4 linked regions of the Schizosaccharomyces pombe genome follow. The gene in region 4 interacts genetically with the main gene of each other region. Each region holds a gene or a part of one and is shown on either strand. Other genes may lie near its edges. The genes, in order: dph6, atg9, stg1 and SPOM_SPBC1348.10C.

Region 1 (4,619 bases), 750 kb from region 4:
AAGCGACAGATCCTAATTTTGAGAGTTGGAGAGAGAGGATCGTTCAGGACGCCTTGAAAATTGTCGAACAAATTCCTAAATGGAAACACCTTGGAAATCATGATGGAGTTGCGCTATACGAAAAGGCACCTGCTTATACTGGACATACATGGTATGGTAGGGTGTCTAAACATACACGTTCCCTGAAAACTTTCAAGGTAAGTTCTTACAAGTGTTGGATAGTGGTTTGTAAAATGGTTCCAAAATTTACCTCTGTATATACAACGTACTGGAGACTCTAATACCATAAAATAGGAATAACATTAGTCCTTTGATAACTTGAGAAATCGATTTTTCAACCTATTCATCCATCGCACTAAATGCTAACAACAGCTTAGAAAGGATTGCTATACGAACATATCAAAAAGGAAGCTGATTATGATCCATTGGTATTTTCAGCACATCAATTGGAAACTATTATCGAGGATGAAATTGAGAGTACGTTTGAAATGTCATTTAAGCGAGTAATGTATCTTCCTTCATGGATGAAAAAATTTTTATTTCAAGCATACATTATTTGCTTATATTTACCATTATTATTGTATTTAATTACTCACATTTGTTTCAGTTTGGATGTACAAGTACAAAACCCCTTGGTTCTTTCGGAATCGAGTTTACAGACAATTGGTGGTTTCTGTGATGCTGGACCCGGATTCTTTTATTGTTCTTCAAACTCCAGTTACATATCCAGGTTCCTCCAGTGGAGGAGGGAATGGTGTCGTTGCTCTTTATGACTCTGTTGACTTTGTTTCTAAGAAACTGGACGGAGATGGTAAGGAAGAGGGTGTTTTATGGATTTGCGCTGTCCGTAATGATTATGGAAGTATGTTTTCTGGATTGTTTTCTGATACAACGTTTACAAAATCATTGGTGCGTCAGGTGAAGCTTTACAATGAATGGTTAAATCGAACGTATCCTCGTAAAGGATAGCAAAAGTTTTGCTGTTGTTCAAAAGTTTCTTAATACCATTTCGCATGCAGAGCTTCATCTTTTACTTTAGAGTTTCCCATTCCTTGTTCATCGCAGTGACCTGCCTATCTTTTACTCAGCGAGTTATGCCCTTGGATTATTAGTAATCATGCATTAGAATGCCACTTGATGTCTGTGTCCTTTTACCTTCTGTTTTCGTAAGTCCTTCAGTACTTTAACTTATCTGCTTTTGAGATTAAACTTGTTATTTATTTTGATTATTGCTTTAATATGTGTTTTATGGAACCAGAATCTTTCCTAGAAGGTTAAAAGGTTTCTCAGCCCTTTTAAATGTTTGGTTTCATTAAAGCTTAACACTACGGGACTCTGTCCGTAGAATTCTTGCCTGTTATTAAAAGAAGATCAAGTTGTCAATTATTTAATACTTCAAATAGACAGTTTATGATGTCTTATATTTCATAAATTGTAGTTTATTTTTTTTTTAGCTTGTACATGCTTTATCAATTGCTATTTGAAATCTGGTAATTTCATAAACGCATTTAGGTTTTTTTTATGCATCGTTGCCGGTTTTTGTTGGTTGTTACCCTTAATTTTGCTCTTCTTTCTGCCTCTTTTTTTCCTTGGCAGTAATTTTTTTATCTGTTTTATTTCGTCCTTCACTTTAATTTGCACAAACTGCTGAGCGGTTTTAGTGCTGTGAATGATGAAATAAAGCGATAGTGTTATATTCCTGAAGTATATCTTTGCTAATTTTTAGTTCTTTCTCCTTTCATTGTTCATTAATGGAAGATTGCTTTGTTTATGTTCAGCCGCAAGCGTCTTTTCATCATGAACCTTTCTATCCTCATCCTACGTTACTGTGGAGATCGGAGCTATACTTTACGTGTTGGTTTCAAGCATAAAGTTTTAACATTTAAATTTTTTGTCTTAATTTGTATTATTAGATTTCGAGTTCTTTTAGTTTATTTAGTCAATATATCTTGATCATTGATAAATACCGTATTGTAGTAATGTCGTTATTTATATATGTTTTTGAAGTAAACAATTAATGTTGCCATATACAAACACGAAGAAAGCTTGAACTGAAAAATAGGGAAATTTACAAGTATTTTAGAGTTAAGAAAAACCATTAATGAAGGTCTTAGGGCTAATCAGCGGTGGAAAGGATAGCTGCTTCAACTTGATGCATTGCGTCTCTTTAGGCCATGAAGTAGTAGCCCTAGCAAATCTTCATCCTGAAGATGGTAAAGATGAGATTGACTCTTTCATGTACCAAAGTGTTGGACACGATGTAATTCCATTGTATGCTGAATGCTTCGATCTACCGTTATATCGAGAGAAAATCGGTGGACAAAGTATCAATCAAAACTTGGATTATCAATTTACAGAAAAGGATGAAACAGAAGACTTATATAGACTCATAAAGCGTGTATTGACAAATCATCCAGATCTCGAAGCCGTTTCTACCGGCGCTATACTTTCCACATATCAACGGACTCGAGTAGAAAATGTTTGCAAACGGTTAGGTTTGAAAAGCTTGTCTTTTCTTTGGCAAAAAGATCAGGAAAAATTACTCAACGATATGGTTGTTTCTGGTTTGAATGCCATCTTGATCAAAGTAGCTGCAATTGGCCTTACGAGGAAGGATTTGGGGAAATCTCTAGCTGAAATGCAAGATAAACTTCTTACCCTAAATAAAAAATTCGAACTGCATCCTTGCGGTGAAGGAGGTGAATACGAAACATTGGTTTTAGATTGCCCATTGTTCAAGAAGCGAATTGTTTTGACTGATAAAGAGGTTGTTGAGCATTCTTCTGGGGAAGTCTGTTATTTGAAAGTTAAGGCCTGTGTTAAAGATAAGCCTGAATGGCAACCTATCTCGCTGAAAAGTGAATTAGTTCCAAATGAAGAATTACTTGGGGAAGAATATTCACATATTTATCATACTATATCTAAAAAATACGAACTTATTGACGATCAAGAGGAGACGCCTACTTCTCTTATCCCAATTCCTCTTCGTGAAAGCGCCTTTCAGCAAAAAAAGGGCTCATTTTTAGTATTGGGTAATGTGGTTGCTACCAAAGGATCTTATAACACGTTTCAAGGTGAAGCTGAATCTGCTATAAACAACTTAAATGGTAAGTTACATATTGATTGTCTTCGTTAATCATATTCTTGATTCGGCTATGCCACCGAACATTTCCTTTAAACCGCTAGAATACTAACTTCCTAGAACTGCTTGGTACATATGGATATTCTAACAAAAATGTTTACTTTGTAACCGTCATTTTATCTTCCATGTCTAAGTTTGCAGAATTTAACTCTGTTTACAATAAATATTTTGATTTCACGAACCCACCTTCCCGGTCTTGCGTCGCAGCTCCTCTAGCTAGTGAGTATAGGATAGTCATGTCCTGTATTGTTGGAGATGTAACCGAGAAAAGAGCGCTTCATGTTCAAGGGCAAAGTTATTGGGCGCCAGCCAACATTGGTCCATATTCGCAGTCGATCTGTGCAAATGGTGTTGTTTTCATTTCTGGACAAATTGGTTTAATACCATCAGTTATGGAGTTAAAACTTCATGACAAAATATTTGAGATGGTACTGGCTCTTCAACACGCAAATCGTGTTGCAAAAGCAATGCGAGTAGGTTCACTCATAGCATGCTTGGCATATGTTTGTGATTCTCGTGATGCGGATTGTGTTGTTAAAATTTGGTCAGAATATACAAAAAATACTGGGGAGTCAAGTCCTGTTTTGGTTGCGTTGGTTGATGCCTTACCAAGGAATGCCTCAGTAGAATGGCAATTGCTTTACAATGATAGCTCTTGTGATGTTCCACTTCTAAGTTCACTCGTTACAAATCAAACGCTTTTTGGTTCTGATACAGCATGGGATGTCGCCTTATTGAACCAAAATGGTTTACGAATGGAGTCCTCCTTTATTCATCATGAACATCCTTCCGCATATGCTATCGTATTGAACAATGCATTTCCAAATTCTCAGTTATTACACGTGCGTTATACAGCTAGAGATCAAAATGTATAACTTAATGTACATAGGAATTAGATTGTAATGAAATGGTCGAACTTAGCTTTTACACAACTTTTTTTACTGTTTTCATATATACAGGCCAAATTAAAACGCTAAAAAGCGTATTTCTTACGCATATATATTCGGTAGTTTGGCAATTTGTATAATATAATTGATGATAACAAGCTGAAGTTTATCAGGTTTTCAACCAATACGATTAAATAAATATTTTCAGGACATTCCTTTTGTTTCAACGCTTAAATTTAACTTTTTCACTGGAAATCTACAATACTTGCTAGCTATGTGTATCTCCTTACTGCGTCAGTATATCTACGTATTTAGTGTCTACCATCCACGCAAAGCAGGAAATAAGCATATATTTATTTCCTGCCATGCAGTGCTATCTCAAACGAAAAGAAAGATCTGTTGCATTTATTACAGAGAAATATGCGGCAATTATTCAAAAACCGTCTGTTAAGGATTCTGATTGCATAATAACATTCACTTGTATCTCACTTGAAGAATTCGAAAAGATAAAGGAATATGAATTACTTTTTGGAGGAGAGAAGATATTGGGAACCCTTGGGTTGTTTAATTATGTATGTGAGGATATGAAA
Region 2 (4,954 bases), 3.0 Mb from region 4:
CTGGATGTAATGAAAAATAGAGGTGCCCAGGAAATTGTTTTGGAAACAGAGGTGGATAATGAGGCAGCCATGTCTTTTTATGAAAGACTCGGGTTTTGTCGCTATAAACGTCTTTATCGTTATTATTTGAACGGCACTGATGCATTTCGATACATCTTGTACCCGAATTGAAAAACAATGCTACAAAATAAAATCGCGGCATTTTCTATGCTCTAAGAAAATTTGTTTCCACTTGTCGCAGTATAAGTGAAAGTTTTAAAGTTGTTCCAATCTATTTATTTTTTTTTATTTTTTTTCTTCTACTGATTAATACCATAAGTAATTGTCATTAGTCGTCACTGTAGCGTAACTCCGTAATTATAACTGTAATAAACAGTGTTTACATTGATTCAAAGAAATTGTACGGATGTTCATAAAAATAATATCATTCCATTAAATGTAAACTTCATTAATAGTAAAACATAAAGTCTACAGCTGAATAAATAAAGAAGCTTCAACGTAAACTGCTAACTCTCCAAACAAACAATCACCATTCATTAAAAGAAATTAGTAAAAATACAATCATTACATGCATTAGTGGCTCAAATTGCCTTGCTAGCAAATTGTTAACACTTCTTATAAACATTGTCCTTCATTTTGTATGACAGAAAAATAAACCATTAAGCCATTGAGACTTGCTTGGTTGTTTCAAGAACTGACTCTCAATTTCATTAACGAAGATCCCTTCTAGGTGCTTCCGTATTAAATTGTTCGTAAAAGCTGATGCGAGAAAGTTCTGGTTTATTTTGAATTAGAGGGCTTATTTTACGTGATTGTACCAAAGAAGCGACAGACTCATAAGGCGGGTTGTCCTGGAAAACAGCGTAACTACAGACGTACCCAACGCCTTCAACGTTTATAGTATGTTCTCTGAAGAAATCCACAATATCTTGACTGCAGGAAGGAAAAGTGAAAAACAACAATACGGGTGTCAGCAAAATTCCAAGAATCTCCCAAAGAAGATTAACTATGCGATATGAATATAGAGAACAGAACTCTTGTTGAACAGCTTTACTATGCATGTTATCAGACCACCATCCTGGCATGTAATGTGTAAAAGTGATTACGCGCCTTAAAGCTTTTTCCGGAGCAAAAACCAAAGTTTCATCAGGTATTATTGAGCGCGAAACTGCTATAAGAGATCCGAAAAGACCAAGATAAAAAAGTACAGATCGATCTTTAGTTATTTCAAAAGTTACCATTAATTCAGGATCAAAAACTGTGATTATTACTAAAATCGCAGTAAAACTTCCTAAAATAAATGATATGTATTTGAATAACCTAATCATGTTAAAGTCAGGGAACTGAGATACATAATGAGATGCGGCCGCATAGCTATCATTAATGCGTTCATCAAAAAAATGTTGTAACTCATTGTATTCACGAAAAGTCCATAAAGCTAATGGAGTGTATCTTCTTGTACTCAACGCGCCTGGATTTTTATGATATTCATTAAAATAGCGGAAGAAATTGTGAATTACTAAGTAAATTGCAACGATTGGCGCAAAAAGGCAATTGAGGAAACCAGCGACGATGAATCGACGACGTAATTCTTCAGAAAGCCTTTTCCGGGAGTTAGGATTTCGAAAAGCACTACGAAGCTGACCTTGCTCATCGAAAACGAAATTGAATATGCACCAATTTATGTTCCATTCCGTGGTATGTGTGAGTATTCTCCTGTGCAAGAGAGGAAGCTCAATATTAATTATTCCATTATTTATCAGTGCAATGAAGTAATTGTCTTTTCTCATTATACGATTTGCAATTGCATAAGCATCCAGGCGTTTCATGTTATGAAGAGACACTACCCTTCCATCCTCAGCAGTAAGAGCATTTACATTCTTTAATTTCAATAAACGATATAAAACCCTTTGCCAAGATACTGTTGGCATATCTGCGGTAGCAATTTTTAAGGCATGAATATAAAACTCACGCATTTGCCATAACCTTGGAATATCAGTAAGATAATATATCCAAAGTGCCAAAAGAAAACTTAAAAAAAGCCACAAAACAAGATACGTTATTGGCGACATTTGTGCAATGCATTGAGACTTTGTGACACCAGCCAGTGAACCATGGGGTGTCACAGCAGGCCAATCTATGCAACTAGTTATGAATGTGGTAAAACCAATAACAAATGAAACTGTCAAAATTTGAAATAGTCGGTGAACAATTATACAAGACAATCCTTTACCAGTGTAGTAAGTATAAACTTGCTGAAGAAAGCTATCCAAATTTTCTACGTTTGCCCATCTCCAAAGAACCCGATCCCGGGCACTTAAACGATTCCAAAGAACGCGAGCGTTGGAAAATTCGTTACGAGGAAGCTGAGTATAAATAGATCGATTAGGATGTCCAGAGCGAGTGACATCTTCATTATAAAAATGGGGATCGTTAAAATTGGGGAGTGCTGGTTTTTGCTTTGAACCATTTTGCAGGTTCCTCAGAGAAGTAGTTTCAGGAAAGGAAGGACTGGGGTGTTTCGAGGGTACTTTTGAAGAATTTCCATGAACAGATGGAGGCTCGTCTGAGTCCAGAAGCTTTCCAGAATACAGCAAATCCGTTGGATTATTCTTTCTTGGAACGCTTTTTACGAAATCGTCATGTTCAGATATTGTAAAGCCGTTGGATTCCTCAAGTGGCGAAGACTCGTCCTCATCACTGTCTAAAGACTCTTGCCATGCCTCTAAAACTTCTTGGGTATTAGGAACATTATTTTGAGCTTCTATATCAGCAAGATCGTCATATTGCTTTTTGTTTTGAGCCGGCTGATAAAACATGATCGCAATTCCACTCAAATTGGCATATGGGTTTTTCTCATGAATCTTTATTATTTTTGCTTAATTCAGAGACCTTTTTTTCTAGTTCTTGTATCCGAAGTAATGCTTTTTGATGACTATCTTTAAGTTTATCTAAGTTGGTCTGTAGCTGAGTTAACACGCTTGTGAGCAGGTGACATGAAGTTTGAATCAACTCGTTGCTTGAAACTGGATCTTCAAGCTCTGAGTCTGTAAGGCGAACAGTACTGTCATCTTCTTCTGGAATTGTTTCTTCGTCGTTAGTTAATCTTGGACGTTTCTGAGAGTGTTTGAGTTCGTCATGAACCTGATCAATCGGACTAGAGGGTGACGCCAAATATGAGTGTTCAAACATCAGCGAGGGGTACTCTGAAAGCATTTCTGGTTCATGCCTCCGATTTACAGATGGAGGAGTTGAAGGAGCCGATTCGGGCATTATGATTTTGGTTTGCACCAAAAGAATTTCTAGCGCGCGCACTTTATTACTGAGCGTTGAGAACAAAGTAGCATACCCCAAGCGAACGTATTGTACCTCGTTGCATCTGTTCCCGAAGTAAACATTTAGACAATGAACTTCCTAAAATATTTCTCACATTCGAAATAGCTAGAAAAACATATCTTTACTACATTTTCCTATCACATCAGGCATATATTTTCTATTTTGTTTAAATATATTTAAGGTAATACCAAAAAGAAAAAACAACAATTTCAAGAATAACTATGACAGTTTCATCTATAACTATAGTTATATGATTGGGTTTTTAAAAAATATCTATTATTTGAAAACAGTTTAGATACAAGTTATGAAAGAGCATTTATAAAAACATTTTTCAGGTGTTCGCTGGGTTCCATTCCAACGCTGACACGAACAAGGTTTCTATCTATGCCATTCTCACCAGCCCAATCCAACTCTTGGTAGTGAGCTAAAATTGCATAGGGAGAAGCCAACGTAAAATTTGTACCAAGTGAGGGACCTTTTGCTACTTGGATTTTGTCGTAAAATTGGCGCGCATCTTCAGGATTGTGGAAAACGACAGACAAAAGACCACCATAACCTCCATTTTCTCTCCGGCAAGCTTCAAAATGCTCTTTTGATGTATTGTATTTGGGATAGTATAGAGTTTTAATTTTAGGGTTTTGATAAAGCAAATTACAAATTGTTTCCGCGTTATGGTTTATCACTTGTGAACGTTCAGCAAAATCTCTGCTATTTCTTTCTAATGTCAAAGCATCCTCATCATATAATAAGTCTTCATAAAGAGCCTTCATAGCATCTTTTATTCGAGAGTAGTAACGACTTGACGGATTTAAAACCATACTACCTCCCATTACATTACTATCACCGCTAAAAATCTTTGTGAGGCTGCTGACAACTACATCTGCTAATGGTAAAACCTCAACGTTGACAAAATTTCCAATTGTTTCATCAACCACGACAGCAAAATCATAACTGTCTGCTAATTTCCGAATACGAACCAAATCGGGAGAGTTTAAAAGAGGATTTGATGGAAACTCACAAAACAATGCCATAACTTTCTCTCCACTTTCTAACCGTTTCTCAAACTCATCAAGTTGCTCGTCATTACCTAGTCCATAAAAGTAGCAGCCAGATCCCCATTTCTGTAAAATTTTTAAGGTATCAACATAACAAAAACCAAAACAAACACTTTTACGGCTATCATCAAGCACCAACCTTAATATGCGATGAGTATTGTAAATAGCACTCATGCCAGTAGGAAATAAAAAAACATCGTCGTGACTTAAACCTTTAACTTCACGTAAATACTGAGACCCTTCTTTGGGTAAAGCCTTTTGCAAATCAACTTCATCTTTTAAGGTACCAGCGATACGTCGTCGAAGAACAAGTTTAGCTGCTGTAGCCAAACTTAAATCTAAATTACGCCCATATCTCTCCTCCAAATATAGGGATACGTCTTCCATTTCATCATTAGCTTGGTTTCCTTCGTTAGTCATCCAAGTATTCAAAGCCTGTAGATCTGGATGGGAAGCATATCGGCTTCTGCTTTTACTTTTGAGATGAGAAATAGACCTCTGGGCAACCAAAAATTCGGAAATAGACTGAATTTTTTTGTAGGAATGCAGAAAAGCAGCTGCGC
Region 3 (3,401 bases), on a different chromosome or scaffold from region 4:
TAGTAATATCCCAAACATTTATTGCGGTATCACCTACAAGAGAAGAGCTTGCAAGTTGATTAGAACCTCTCGATTGCTGATTAGCCGGTCGCCAACGAACACAATTGAGGGGACTGACATTATTGATAGTTATAAGGGACTTTTTTTTGTTGCTTGTGGAATCCCAAATACGAATAGTCTTATCTCTCCCGCATGACGCTAAAAAAACACCATTAGGACTATAATTAACACACAAAACAACACCATTATGTGCAGCTAATTTTAAAAAAGGAAGTTTTGGAAACCGGATATCCCATTTTTGCAAGATCCCACTGTCATAAGCGGCAACGAACTCATTTGGCTCAGAAGGGGAGAATACGACGTCTCGAGCAGCTTCAGAATTTCCACGAAAAGTGATTGTTGATGAGCTTTCCTTGTAATCCCAAAGCTTAATTAACCCATCCTGAGAGGCTGTTAAAACGTAAGACGGGTGAAATGAAGAGATATCCAATTTATGTACGGCTCGAGAATGCTCATTAAAGTCATAGAGAAGGGCTTCTAAATTAACATCCCATACATTGAGATTACCAAGCGGTGAACATGTAAAAATTAAATTTGAAGCAAAACTACTACCCCACTTTACATCATTGCAAGAGATGTGCTTTGTTTGTGTTGATTTTTGTAGAAGGTCAGAGATGCAAACAGGAGGCTTTGAAGAGTTTGGATTAACAGCTAGAACTTTTAGAAGCTCTCGGCCTGCTACACCCACTTTTGTACGGCTTTTATTTACCGAAATAGCACTGATGGAGGCCTTTACATCAACAACCCAGTCTTGGTAACTAACAAGTCCTTTGGATGACTTTACAGATGTGCTAGCAAGTTGGGCATAAGTAGGTCGCTGAAGGACGTTTGAGTTTCGTGAAGGCATTTACGAATTTGAAAACAAAATGAAGCTGGTAGAGTAGCAGCTGATGCCTTCTAAAATGATTTAGGAAATTTGCATACAGAAAAGGAAACAAGTTCTTAAATATCGGACAGGAAGTCAAAGAAATTGCTGAAGTGAAATGCAAGTATGGTGACACTCACCGTACATTGGTAAAATTAACGTTGCAAGATCGTTCAATAGTAAAAGTCAGAAAAAAGTAGACTATTCTTTATCAAACTATTTGTTTTGATACATTAACCAAAAAGATAAAGTAGAAAAGTAGAGGAGCAACTAACAGTAAGAAAAGTTTCTGCTAATGTAAATATCAAGTCCAATGTTAGTGAACAAATAAGAGCTTTCGAATTTTCAATTATTGAGGAAATTCAATCAGAACAATTACACATCGGAAGTTTTCAAAAGAATAAAAGTTCAAATATAATTTATTTTTACGAAGTTCAGTTGCTTATTGCTTCTAGTAAGTTTGGTTTTGTGAATTTACTTCTGAATCTCGCTATGAATCAGCAATATTGCATCCTGTAACGCTATACTGCATTCCTGTAGAGTTCATTATATAGGTTTCACATTTTACTATGGCATTTGTCGCGTATACATGACTTATGATTTAAAATTTCGTTTACGCTGATTTACAACATTTAAAGAATGGTACTGTTGAGCTTATCTTTCAATGCTTCTTTCGTAGAGTTATAGTAGCTACAATATTAAATATGAAGATAACATGTTATATATGACGATATAAGTAAGCAAAGCCGGTCAGTCCAATGTCAGTTGCACAGTGTCAATCGAAAAAGCGGTTTGCAGTACCTTGTCGGTTTGTATTTTGTAATATAATGATGCTTTCGAAATTAAATAAACAAGTCTTCATTCCATAAACGAATTGTGAAGCAAAGTAATTCGACTCTACTTTATATAGTACTAATTAGTAAGAACAAATCATCAGTTTACCGTACAAGAGTTAGTTTGCTGATAAAGAGTTTACGCAGTCTACTGTACCTTAAACTCAGATACGAATTGCGTAGCTGGAGTTACGCTAAATGATCTATTAAGTCCAGTTGCTACACATTGAATTAAGATGGCACTCGTCAGGCTTATACGAAGCCGCTTTTCACTAACCACCTCTGAAAAACCAAACTGTCATTGGGCGTTCCGTGATATAATTTCTTGGAACTTTTCTTTATTTTTATTTAAATTTTCGTGAGAAATGACGTCTCAACTTGAAAAAGAAGCAAGAGAATGGATCGAAGAAACTTTGCATACGAAATTGAATGCTCAGTTAGACTTACTGGATCAATTACAATCCGGGGTGATTCTTTGCAGAATTTGCAAAGAAGCTTTAGGCGCTAACATTCGATACAAAGAATCTAACATGCCTTTTGTCCAAATGGAAAACATATCTGCCTTCATTAACTATGCACAGCAAGTTGTACATGTTCCTTCACAAGATATGTTTCAAACTTCTGATTTATTTGAGCGGAGAAATGATGAACAGGTTTTAAGAAGTATTCACTCCTTTTCGCGCTATGCCGCGAAAATGTTTCCCGGCAAAGTTCGTGGTTTGGGTCCTAAATTGGCAGAGAAGAAGCCTCGTGTTTTCTCAGCACAGCAGCAGCGTGAGTTTCGAGAAGGCGTAAATAGTCTTCAGTATGGAAGCTTTGATATGCCGACACAGGGAACCGAGAAGATTGCATTTTCTAGACGCAGGGACCCGACCGGAAATATGTATTAGTCTTGTGTAGGGAAAGAGATTGAAGATTGTATAACTTTATATCTTCGCTTCTTGTACTTTTTGATAACTTATTTATTTTCATTCATTCGTAAAATCTGCCGAATCCATAATAGGAGTGAAACGTGAGGTCTTGTAAAAGATGTGTATAAATATAGAAGCTTAAGTTTTGCTTTAAATATTCATAATGATATGTTTTTTTTACGACACTAAAACATAAATTGAATTATAGTTTGATTCGTAGTTTGAAAACACATTTAAAATCTTATGTTTGGTGCTGTATTGCTAGATTTCTCGTCGTATCAAATGACTTAAAAAAGCAATACGACAATTCATTGTTTCATGAGCGTTTCCTTACAAAGCTGCAGAGAAAAAAAAAAATGTTGCAAAAATTAGTTATGGAAGTATCAGTGATTAATAAAAATGCACACTTTATTTATTTATTTTGTTATTTTTGTATTCAATTTCTTAAATGATAAGCAGGTCGGTAAACGTATTTACAAATAGTTTTGTGAGATATTATAAAAAAAAAATGTATGTACATTGAAAATTGCAGAAATACTAGAGATGTTGTTAAAATTGTTTGCTTAAAATTTACTCAAGTCAGAAATTAAATAAAAATTTTAAAGCTTGTATACAAAAGAAAATGCTGGTAGACCAGTTTTGCAAGAAACAAAGTAGATAATAAAATTGCATGTATTGCATTTGTTTAGACATTAGTGTTATTAAAAGAAATCAAACAAATAAGTTTTTAAA
Region 4 (4,364 bases):
CAAATTCAAAAATTAGATAAAAAAAAGATTTATACCAATATAGGAATATAGTATGAGTAGATAATTCGTGAGATTAATATTTCTGTAAAAGTTAAGTTTATGTCGCATAATGTCGAGAAGCAGAACGGCAGTATAAAAGCGATACTAAACGGCGATTAGCAGTAAAAGAATATTCAACAATAATGTTAATTTTTTAATCAAGCAAATGAGAAAAAAATGAATCCAAAAATGATTAAATATAAATGCAATTATTAGCACTATCATTTTGAAACAAGTCCAAAACGACGTTGGCTACAATGACAAATATTAGAAACAGCATATTCTTGTTCAATGCTTATAGTTGGTAGTCATGAGTAGAGAATATAAATACAATGCACACGATGTAGATTTGATGTGGGTAAATGAGCAAGTAATTATTGATCGTGGAAATGAAATACGACCTATAAGCCTAAAGCATAATTGATCACTAAAAAGTGCTCTTTTATCTCCAACTTGAAGAAAAAGTAGAACAAATAAAAAGGCATCACAAGCTGCCATACAAAAACTATCAAACTTTGTTCAGCTAAATGTTTTGTGCATAACGATGATTAGGAAATTAGTGTGGAAAAGTTACAACCTTATGTACTGTTTCGGAAAGATACAGTAAAACAAACAATTCAAGAGAGATCTAAAGAGACAATCAGGTTAATGGCCTTTAATAATAAGAAATTACCGCGATGTACAACTTAAGCAGGTGTGACAAAAAGTACAAATGTACGTTCGAGCAATTAAAACTACTATTGACATATCATAAAATAATGTCAAATGTTGCAAAAAATAACAAACAAATTTGTTTTCTCGAGGTCAAGCGAAAAGATATTTACATGTATGAAAGTCGAATAATTGTGATAATAGCGAGGATTTATGAACAAAGACTACTCGAAAATACAAAACTTATTTCTCCCTAGTATATGAAGATCAAAATAACTTAAGCTAGTTGAAATGCATGCAATGTGTTAAACGTGGAATCATGAATTCGCTATGCATTTTATTGGCGTTTTCTTTTTCGTGTATCCGCGCTAGTACACTAGATTACGTTGCCTCTCACCATACATCGAATGTCCCTACTATCATCCTCCTACTTATATTTATAATCAATACGTGATCATCAGATCATTCCCTTACACGCTCCCATTTCAGATTATGCATCGTAATACTAACAAACTATTTTGTATAAGCGAAGTAATTAACTCCATTCGATGATGAGCGATCAGCTTCTGGTATTATTGTTCGCATACATATCTTGTAACATTTGTTACTCAATAGAAATTTAAGGTAACATTGATCATAAAGTAAAAGCTTGCCGTACTAAATTGTATCCGCCTAACGTTTGCGAATTTTGCAGCAAGCATTGTTTCGTATTTAAGATCACTTTTGTAGACAGATCTTGAGATAACGCGACAAATTTTGGGGCTTTTAAAGTTCGGAATTCTTTCTTCCGGATCAGAGATGTGTAGTGCGCCAGAGTAATATATGATTTAATATTCTTCCGTGTAGTACACTTTTCCATGCGAACTTCAATTTTTACAGCTTTTGTTTGAACTTTTTTTATTTTCTGCAATGTATGTCAACTATATTGGACTCTTTGCTTTCGTTCAAATTTCGTTGACGTTAGCTTATCCTCCCGGTCGTGTGGAGATTTCTGAAATATATGATTTTGAAGAATCTAGTTCGTATAAAGGACAAGATATTGATACATCCGTACTTTACACTTTGTCTAAAAGGAAACCTGCGCTCGTAAAACGAAGTACCGACGCTTCGTATGCCCCTTTCAATGTGACCTGTTCAAACGACAATCTGTTGAGGCCGGCTTCTGAAGGTTTAAATGAGGGCGAACAGAGCTATATCAACAAACGTATTTCTAAGGTTAACAGTGAACTCCGATCATTTATTTCTAAGACAGGTTTGAATGTTGACTTGGATAAGGTGGTTAACAGCTCGGATGGTCCACGTTTAGGAATTGCATTCTCAGGTGGTGGGTTACGGGCGATGGTTAATGGAGGTGGTGCATTCAATGCTTTTGACTCAAGATTCGAGAGTGACTCTCCACTTTCTGGTCTGCTGCAATCCGCGATGTATATCAGCGGTCTTTCTGGTGGTTCATGGCTTGTTGGATCAGTGGCTATTAATAATTTTACGAATATAACATACTTACGTGATAATGTCTGGAATTTGGAACATAGCGTTTTTGCTCCTCATGGGGATAATGTCATTGAAAATTTGAATTATTATAATGACTTGCGCAAAGAAATTGATCAAAAGAAACATGCGGGCTTTGACTGTTCTTTGACGGATTTATGGGGACGTGCTTTGTCCCGTAAACTTGTTGATGCTGAAAGGGGAGGACCAGGCATTACATATTCCAGTATGAGAAATCAAAGCTGGTTTCAAAATGCTGATTATCCTTATCCCATCATCGTTGCGGATAGCCGATTAGAAGAAGAAACGGCCATCCCTGCCAATACCAGTATCTTTGAGTTCACGGCGTATGAATTTGGTACATGGGACAATGGAATTAAAGCATTCATTCCAATGGAATATGTGGGAACTCACTTGTTGGATGGGGTTCCACCCGATAAGTCTTGCATTCATAACTATGATAATGCAGGTTTTGTTATGGGCACTTCAGCTACTTTATTCAACTCTTTTCTTCTTGACTGGAATGAAAATGTCAAAAAGAATGATACCTATTACGATATTCTTCATGCGATTCTTGAAGATCTTTCTAAGCATCAAGATGATATTGCTCCTTATCCCAATCCTTACCAAAATTATACTACTTCCAATACCTCTGTAGTGAATGCGTTCGAACCGTATGATACTATTGATCTAGTTGATGGTGGTGAGGATAGGGAAAACATTCCCCTTTGGCCTTTGTTACACCCACAACGATTTGTGGACGTTGTATTTGCGATTGATTCGACTTATAATGATCCTTATGGTTGGCCCCTTGGATCTTCCATTGTTGCTACATATGAGAGAGTTGTAACCTTTAATGCGAACAAGAGTGTTGATGTGCGTGGATTTCCATATATTCCGGACGAAAACACTATTATCTCTTTGGGACTAAACACTCGTCCTACGTTTTTTGGATGTGACGGTAAAAATACTACAGCAGGAAATCATGATGTAGACAATAATACCCCACCTCTCCTTGTATACTTTCCAAATTACCCTTGGACTTATTATTCCAATATATCGACATTTACTATGAGCATGGACGACAAGATGGCTAATGGAATTCTTGAGAATGCATTTATGTCGACTACGCAAAACAATAATGAATCTTTTGCAGTTTGCTTAGCATGCGCTATAATTCAACGCTCTTTGGAACGCAAGAAATTGAGTACTCCTACCCAGTGCTCTTCTTGTTTCCAAGAATACTGTTGGGACGGAACTCTTGCAACTAGTACGGCTTCTGTATATGATCCTACCGTAATGTCTGCTGCGACAACATCTCGTGCACCGTCAGGCACAACCTCGGGTACAGCCTCTAGTACAACATCTTCATCTGTATGTTCTCAAAAATTCACGTTGATTAAACTATTTTTTTTTTCATCGCTAACTTTTGTTCTAGGTAGCATCAGCCACTCCCACTCATAAACATTGGTGGGACTCGATTTTCGAAGCGAAAGAAAATCCGTAAAAAGATTCCATTGATGTTGTTTCAATGGATTCTCAGGCATGTGAGAAATTTAGAATAGATAGATTTACCTTTATTGTACTTGGTTACGAATTCGTTATGAAAGAGAACTAAGGATTTTCCTCATTCGTGAGACTGCTCAGTTAAACCCTTTACGTTTGATGGAGCTATGTAAACGGGTAAATGAATAATTTGTTATCTCTAAACTTTTTTAGATAAATGCAACCGGTCGAATGGATGAACAGGCTTAGTTGGCTCAATCTGAGATCGATGTGCATTCACGTAAAGACACGAAACGAAAGAATGTAAGCATGAAAACGATTAAATACAACATTGCTTTAAATTGATATATACGTACAATTGGGAATCACAAGTTGAATGAAAAATAGTCCAAGATCGTTGTGCTAATGATGAACATTAAATGATAGATTGTTTTAAAAGCTCCCGGTTTTTTAAAAAATAGATAATAATAAAATTGACTACAAACATTTAAAAGTAAGACAGAGACTTGTTAATTCAATATATGAGGAGTCACTACTAAATATTTTACTGTATTTTGAAACTTCCTAAAGGAAGGAAACTAAATAAATGCTGAAAGATTTATCAACAGTTTGGTACAAAAAACAGTAAAAGAGGAATATTCAATTGGTAGAACGAAATCGTTTAAAGACCCATTTGTTTT

What was found.
Region 1: mutations in SPOM_SPBC1348.10C (region 4) and dph6 together harm fitness more than expected from each alone (negative genetic interaction), as found in Schizosaccharomyces pombe (one large-scale study listed by BioGRID).
Region 2: mutations in SPOM_SPBC1348.10C (region 4) and atg9 together harm fitness more than expected from each alone (negative genetic interaction), as found in Schizosaccharomyces pombe (one large-scale study listed by BioGRID).
Region 3: mutations in SPOM_SPBC1348.10C (region 4) and stg1 together harm fitness more than expected from each alone (negative genetic interaction), as found in Schizosaccharomyces pombe (one large-scale study listed by BioGRID).

Annotation. Positions count from the first base shown.
Region 1 is NC_003423.3:771,379-775,997, forward strand, and holds dph6 (endoribonuclease), read left to right. Parts: upstream 1-1,988; 5' UTR 1,989-2,101; coding exon 2,102-3,107; intron 3,108-3,148; exon of another isoform or gene 3,149-3,202; coding exon 3,203-4,017; 3' UTR 4,018-4,111; downstream 4,112-4,619. Other genes in the region: SPOM_SPBC577.11 (uncharacterized protein), read left to right, coding at 1-197, 378-477, 608-969; syj2 (inositol-1,4,5-trisphosphate 5-phosphatase 2), read left to right, coding at 4,395-4,619. UniProt on the Schizosaccharomyces pombe protein: Amidase that catalyzes the last step of diphthamide biosynthesis using ammonium and ATP. Diphthamide biosynthesis consists in the conversion of an L-histidine residue in the translation elongation factor eEF-2 (eft201 or eft202) to diphthamide.
Region 2 is NC_003423.3:3,022,803-3,027,756, forward strand, and holds atg9 (autophagy-associated protein Atg9), read right to left. Parts: upstream 2,857-4,954; 5' UTR 2,820-2,856; coding exon 711-2,819; 3' UTR 541-710; downstream 1-540. Other genes in the region: NatC N-acetyltransferase complex catalytic subunit Naa30, read left to right, coding at 1-171; SPOM_SPBC15D4.08C (uncharacterized protein), read right to left, coding at 2,857-3,273; met3 (cystathionine gamma-synthase), read right to left, coding at 3,639-4,954. UniProt on the Schizosaccharomyces pombe protein: Phospholipid scramblase involved in autophagy and cytoplasm to vacuole transport (Cvt) vesicle formation.
Region 3 is NC_003424.3:2,659,678-2,663,078, forward strand, and holds stg1 (SM22/transgelin-like actin-modulating protein Stg1), read left to right. Parts: upstream 1-2,019; 5' UTR 2,020-2,123; coding exon 2,124-2,648; 3' UTR 2,649-2,858; downstream 2,859-3,401. Other genes in the region: SEACAT complex subunit Sea2, read right to left, coding at 1-907. UniProt on the Schizosaccharomyces pombe protein: Has actin-binding and actin-bundling activity and is a component of the actin patch. Stabilizes actin filaments against disassembly. Cross-links F-actin and is required for the formation of the contractile F-actin ring.
Region 4 is NC_003423.3:25,608-29,971, reverse strand, and holds SPOM_SPBC1348.10C (phospholipase), read left to right. Parts: upstream 1-1,599; coding exon 1,600-3,552; intron 3,553-3,616; coding exon 3,617-3,685; 3' UTR 3,686-3,817; downstream 3,818-4,364. Other genes in the region: SPOM_SPBC1348.09 (dehydrogenase), read right to left, coding at 4,346-4,364. UniProt on the Schizosaccharomyces pombe protein: Catalyzes the release of fatty acids from lysophospholipids.